2 linked regions of the Coturnix japonica genome follow. The protein of the gene in region 1 purifies or fractionates together with the protein of each later gene. This does not show direct contact. Links are inferred from orthologs where the notes say so. Each region holds a gene or a part of one and is shown in the gene's direction. Other genes may lie near its edges. The genes, in order: ACVR1 and TGFBRAP1.

Region 1 (3,823 bases):
GTGCAGTCTGTTCCTTAGGTCTTAGCTGTCATTCCCAATAATGTGATCATCTTCGATGTTGATGTGAGACACCAAGCTTGGAAGGGCTGCTGCTCAATGGCATGTGGTCTGTGTTGTGTCTGCAGGGCTGTACCTGCAGCTTTGGGGTTTGTGGAGGTCCTGTATTGCTCCACAGTGCATTTCTACATACAAGATAAGCCTTCATGCAAGTAACAGAGGATAAAGTTGAAAAAAACTGCTGCTCTGTGAGAGTTCCATTGCATTTGGTTAGCAAAAATCAGCTCTTCCAGAGAGAGAAGCGTAGGGTGTTGTCAGTGACAGAAGTCGTTAAGGCTGTCCAGAAAATGGAGAGCTGTAGGTTGTGCTTAGCGGGGCCTCTTGTAGTAAGAGGCTCATTTCCTTTCCTCTGGAAGTGAGAGAGGGAAATGTGCCACAGTTCAGGACAGCGATCTTGCTGGGAGGAGGCGTGTGGGTGAGAGGTGGCACTTGGTGGCTGTGCCAACCAGCTGCTGCAGCCAGCAGCTGCCCCAGGAGCATTAGGGGCTCCGCAGTTACTCTGTTGGAGTAAAGGCAAGACCATGTTGACTTTGTGTTCTAATACTGTGCCGTACCTCAAATAGCCATCTGTATGTTGTTGGTTGGAATGCTTATGTGAGCATAGGAAACTGAAACAGAGCTGGACTTGCTCAGTGATAATCTGATATTGTAATGGCACTGGCAGCACCTTCAGGACTGTACTGTGTAGCTCTGAGGGTTTGCCTGTGAATGGTGTCAAACCGCTGCTTCCATTTCAAGTGATACAGACCCAAAAGAGCTTTTTTGTATTCTTAAATTCTCACAGACTTCATTTTGTGTTCTGAGAGGATGCAGAAGGAGGACATGACCAAAGTTCAGCCCTCTAGGTGATGTTCAGTATATGCAGTTAGTTAGAAGTTGCTTGGAAACAGAATGTGGCACACACAGCATGCATGGCTCGCTGTGAGCACACGTGGCAAACCTGTGGGCTGGTAGTGGCTGTGTTCTGGGACGTCCCTTGGACAGCCAGGTCTTTGAGCTCTTTCCCAGGTGAGTTAGGATTTGCTGAAGCCCAGTCCACAGATATGGAGATTTACAGACTTTTGCTGAGTGTCTGTGGGATTTTGATCTTAGTCTTCAACAGAACAAGAGCACTAAATCCCAACAAGCACTGTAGCAAATGTTGGAGAACTGTTTTTTCTGCTCAAGTATAACTTGAAGTAAAAAGTATCCTGAATTTTGTGTGTATCTGATTATAGACCAGCTGCCAGGCTGCTAAAAAGCAGTTCTAGCTTTGTTCTGTCTGTGCTTCTGCTGTACACAGAGGACTTCATTTGCTCACTGTTTCTCCGAACTAACTTGAAACACCAGTTTTTAAACTGGCTTCTGAAGAAAGCTGAGCTCCCTGGGTCATTGATGAGCTTAATCCACAACAGCGGCAGTGCTGCACGCATGCCAGAGTGAGGAGGCAAAAGACTTTCAGCAGGCTGCTCTTATGTAACCTGGGGACAAGTGGAGAGAACACGCATTAACTTCTTGTTTACTCACTTTTCAAAGCAGAATCTTGGAAACTGCATTCAGATACCATAGCAAAGCCTATACCTGAAGATGTGCGTTGCCACTTACCCTAAGCATTTTACTGTGTTAGTAGCAGAAATGATTTTATGCGAAGCACCGGCGTGAGGGTCAGTAGATGCTGACATCCATATGGGACTCTTTCATGATGCATGGAACAGCACAAAGCGTGTCAACCCTATTGGAAACAACAGTGCAGATGATGAAATTCTGTGCTGTTCTACTAGATATCTCAGTTCTCTGGTAGCCTGTAAACCTCCATGCCTTATGAAAGACGACTTTCCAACAAGTAGATTTACCTCTTATTTTGGCTCAGGCATCTCCAAAATGGATATAGCTTTTAATTTTGCTGCATGGTAGGAGAAACTCTTGCCGTGATAGTAAGTGCTATTCTGTTTTTCTAGTGACTGTTTAGCACGGCAGTGTGGAGTCTTACAGGTATTTTTGTGCTTCTCTGGTGGCTGGTTCACACATGCTGGCTTTGCAGAGGTGCTCTTTCACTGACAGCCATTTAATAATGCCTCTCTTGGTTGTATTTCACTAGGTATTGTAGAAGACTATAAACCACCGTTTTATGACCTGGTTCCCAATGATCCCAGTTTTGAAGACATGAGGAAAGTGGTCTGTGTAGATCAGCAAAGGCCAAACATTCCCAACAGGTGGTTCTCAGACCCTGTGAGTAGACGTTCCGGTGTATGGTTTGTAAAAGCTGACCCCTCTCCTGACCTGAAGCCATGCGAACTGCTCCTATAACCATCTGAAGCTGAGATCATCTCAGTGCTACTTGCCAGCATAGGTTTCAGACCCATCTATGTGTGCACCTTGATGTTACAGAAGGAAGAAAACTCGATGAGCAGACTGTTAAATCTGAGCTATTCTCACACTGGCCCTTCAGTAGTAAGAATTAATAATTGTTTTCACGCTACTCTTCCTTTGTTATTACTCACTTTCCAAGGGAGGGTGTACATGGGGGAAATGAAGCCTGTTAGGCCTTTCTGTGGCTCATAAGCACACAGACTTGGAGCAGTGCTCTGATTCCCCTGCCTCCATGATAAGGGACAGTTCTCTCTGAAAGGCGACTGCTGCTTGAAGTTTTCCTTCACCACAGTCAGTCTGGACCCCTCAGACTACTGTTCTAAAGTTGTGATGGTTCGACACCGCAGTCAGCCCATTGTTGAGTCACTTATTCTCTTTAATTATCAAACTCTACTTTTCAGCACTCAAAAACTGGTCTATTTGAAATGCCTAATAGATGATGCGTAAGGTGGTAAAGCCATTCTGTGTTAGGGCCCAACCTATTGCTGTTCTGGCTTGTGATTTGTGTACTTACATGTGTGTTTTGTTGTTATTCTTTTCCAGACGTTAACATCTCTTGCCAAGTTGATGAAAGAATGCTGGTATCAGAATCCATCAGCACGACTAACAGCCCTGCGAATCAAAAAGACTTTGACCAAAATCGATAATTCCTTAGATAAACTGAAAGCTGACTGTTGACCTTCTTCTTGTGGTGCTTTCCTGACAGGAAGGCACGTGTCTGGCTCAGAGGCAGCCCAGCCAGGCAGTTCGTGTAGTCGGTCCCCATGTGGCTTCTTACAGAGGCAGCAGCTCCTACCAAGCCATCCATCTGGGAGACACCGGAACCATATGGACTTTGCTCAGTGACTGCAGTGGGCATTTCACAAACGGTCAAGCTATAAAGACTCATGCTGGATGTACTGTTGCAAAGGTAGTGGCCTGAAGGAAGACAGAGAAATCCTAAGACAAGATCAGGGCATTAAATAATGGCTTTGAACAGCTTCCCCCCCCCTCCCCAACCCCCCCCTTTTTGGTTGTTTTATCTTTAAATTCTCCTAATCACTCCCAGGGTGAACACGCGGAAGTGGTAATTTTAATCAGCAATATTGCCTGTGCTTCTCTTCTTTATTGCACTAGGAATTCTTTGCATTCCTTACTTGCACTGTCACTGTTAATTTTAATGACATGACTTGCCAAAAATACGATTGGCTGCATATACTGCGTTGATCCATGCCTGAATAATAGGAAAAGAATTTGGACAAAAGGAAAGAAAACGTAACGGTCAGATTTTAGCTGCATTTTACGTGTACTGATGTTTACAATAATGCTGAACATTAGGAATTTCTCGTTTATACAAAACTTGCAAATTATTTATTACGGTGCACTTGCCAGTTTCTAAACTGCACAGCGAGTGCATAAAGGTAAAGCTTATTTTTAT
Region 2 (3,000 bases), on another chromosome or scaffold:
TGCTGTCAGTATATCTGAATCCAGACACTTCGGATTGTGCACTCGTCACGGCTGCTGTAGATCTCTTGAATAACCACGCTGCTGAGTTTGATGCAGCTCTGGTTTTGCAGCTGGTGCCTGACAGCTGGTCAGTGCAGCTCCTCTCCCCATTCCTGGCTGGAGCGGTGAGGCAAAGCATTCATACAAAAAGAATGACTCAGGTTGCACTTGGGTTAGCACAAGCCGAAAACTTGATCTACAAATATGAGAAGGTAGGGTTTTGTTATGTTTTGTTTATAATAGAGGCACTTTGAAGTTTTAATACGAGTCTGAGGATTTAATTATAATCAGACACCTTAAGAGTGAGGGCAAAATTGACTTCAGGTCCTTGGCAATTCTAATTGCTACATTTATTACATTTTTGTGATGGCTACTATAGTCAATGTTATGCTCCTATTACACAAAAGGGGAGGTGGGGCTTTGAAAAAGGAACAGCTTTGAACTGAATGGAATGATGGAAATACATTTGGGATTTCCAGATTAATGAATTTCTTCCACAATTTTTTACCAACTGAGTTTTGTTTTCGTTTGTTTGTTTGCTGGGACTGAAGCATGTCAGAAGTTGCAAGAAAGCTTGCACAACACTTGGCATTAAAGCTTATTAATAGCTTTTGATTTTGTTAAATCCACTTGAGGAGTTTTTTTGTTATTATGTGGAGCAGTGTTAAAGATTTTTTGAGTATGATTAGATCTGTTTCCTTCTAATGAAGGTTTATCCAGCAAAATCTGTCTGCAGTAAGAACTCAGCAGTGCTCTGTTTGCTGTGGAGTTGTGTTCTTGTTTAGCAAGCTGTACCAGGTTTTCAGTTGCATTGAATGTGCCTTTCTGTGTGAAGCACAGAAACAATCTGGTATGGATACAGAGACTGAATTTCATGTTAAATAGTTCAAGCTACTTTTGCCATCAATTTGGTACATTTGAAATAATTCACAGGTGTAACCAGTGAAGTGTTGCTTTTTTTCTGCTGTATCTTAATTTGACTTCATTCATTAGTAAATACGTATTTGGATTTTTTTTCCTCCTTAGGTCAAACATAAAGGAACTCCAATTCTCCTTTCGGACAAAAAGGTCTGTCAGGTGTGCCAAAATCCTTTCTGTGAGCCCGCATTTGTAAGATACCCAAATGGGGGTATGGTCCACACACACTGTGCTGCAAACAGACATCTGAACTCAAATGTGACTCCTTGCTCTTCCAGCTCCAGCAGTGAGACTTGAAATATGTTCCAGGTTCCAGAGGTTCCCATGACTTATATCACACTGAAAGTGGACTGAAAAATTGAAAGAAACCAAGTGCAGCTACTTTAAGCATAAATCAAGATGAACAGATAGTTATTGGGTTAATGGGAAGACTTAAGTATAAAATATGGCCAATTGCCTCTCGGTTTCTAATGAATGTAAATAGAGGGGAAAAAAAATCACTACCAGAAATGGAGAGGTGCAAATATAGACTTCTGTATATAGTAATAAGCAGTCAAAGAAAGTGAGCCTTTTTTTCCACAGTGAGGACTAATGTTACGGAGACAAGGTAAACCATTATTTTCAGAAATGTCACTTTGCACTGAATGTGGTGTTGATACATTTGTAGAGGTGGAGATGGTATCTATTGGAGTAGGAATTCTTGGAGCATTGCACAAGACTGCCAACGTGCAGCTGACTGTCAGGACAGAAACACTTTGCTCATGATGTTTGCTGCAGCACATCCTCATTTGGGCTGGATTCTCTTCCCCAGGATCAATAATGAACGTGTTCTTTGCTCTACAAGTTGTTGGCTTTTGCACTTTTTCGTACTCTTATTTCCTTCCTCTCTCCTCTGCTGTATAGAATTTAAACTTAAGCGCTAGCCCGATAATTTTCTGCTCCTATCGTTACTGTAGTAAACTGAGTGGAAACTGATAGACTTGGTCACACAGCTGCGCGTGGATGAAGAAATGAAGTCAGATTACCTGGTCAGACTGTAGTCACTTTTTTATGGGAAAAGAAACTTTTAATATTGGTTTATTTATTAATATGCAAATATACTGTACATACAGTTGAATACATTTATCTTATATCATCATGGAGGATAAAGGATGTAGCTGATGTGGGAGTGTGTAGGTTATGTGCTTAAATGTTTGTTATAACTTAAGCAGACTGAAACTCAACAAGAATGGGTATTAATACCTGTGGATTACTTAGTGCAATCATGGGAAGGTGGCATAACTGGGAAGAAATCTTCTAAGGTGCACTACAGAGATATTGGATTTGTTGTGTTCTACAAAATGTTCTGTAAACTACAGTTTTCCAGACAGCAGCAAAACTTGTACTGAATAAGCACGATAAATCATTCAACCATTTTAAAGCAGTTGATGGGCTGCTTCCCACAAGAGAGGCTCAAAAACAGTAGCTCAAATAAAATAGTATTTCAAAGTGAAAGCTCAATGCAGCTGAGAGTGCCAGTAGAGCTGATTACTGCTTTAGTGTTCCAAACCAGAGCTGAGTCTTTCAGCAGGGCAGGTTATTTGCGTGGTAGCATCTGGATGTGGGCTTGGAAGAGATCTCCTGTTACAGAAACATCGGCTTATGGAACAGCTTTTTCAACACCAGAAATGGGCAACCAAGACTACATGTGGGGGGGTTGGAGGGGAGTATCCATTTCTTTGTCTTGAAAGTAAAAGTCATTTGGATCTTTGCTGAGTCAGAATTCAGTAGTGCTGTTGTATTGAGTTTTAAAGAAAGTAATTAAGTTTTGCAGCTCCTTCTGCTCAGACATGAAAGACAAACTTAATGAAAAGCACCTTCCGAAAGGCGTTCTCTCATTTCTGAGTTGTGGTACGAGTGATCCTCCTGTGTAGCCTTGGTATGAGCAGGTTCTGTGTCTCATATTTCTGATTTCTGAGCAACCTGTGTACAAACAGCAATGAGAAATTTCTAGTTCCACGTCTTCAAAACAGTTGCAGGTAGGGGCGGAGGCTTTACAAAGAT

Evidence for each region.
Region 2: the proteins of ACVR1 (region 1) and TGFBRAP1 purify together in Homo sapiens (co-immunoprecipitation; 3 studies listed by BioGRID and IntAct, counting the BioPlex papers as one, with this or other methods). This does not show direct contact. The link is inferred for Coturnix japonica from reciprocal best matches to the Homo sapiens genes ACVR1 and TGFBRAP1.

The regions. Positions count from the first base shown.
Region 1 is NC_029522.1:29,815,552-29,819,374, forward strand, and holds part of ACVR1 (activin receptor type-1), read left to right. Parts: intron 1-2,134; coding exon 2,135-2,265; intron 2,266-2,949; coding exon 2,950-3,084; 3' UTR 3,085-3,823. UniProt on the Homo sapiens protein: Bone morphogenetic protein (BMP) type I receptor that is involved in a wide variety of biological processes, including bone, heart, cartilage, nervous, and reproductive system development and regulation.
Region 2 is NC_029516.1:121,837,457-121,840,456, reverse strand, and holds part of TGFBRAP1 (transforming growth factor-beta receptor-associated protein 1), read left to right. Parts: coding exon 1-251; intron 252-1,065; coding exon 1,066-1,254; 3' UTR 1,255-3,000. UniProt on the Homo sapiens protein: Plays a role in the TGF-beta/activin signaling pathway. It associates with inactive heteromeric TGF-beta and activin receptor complexes, mainly through the type II receptor, and is released upon activation of signaling.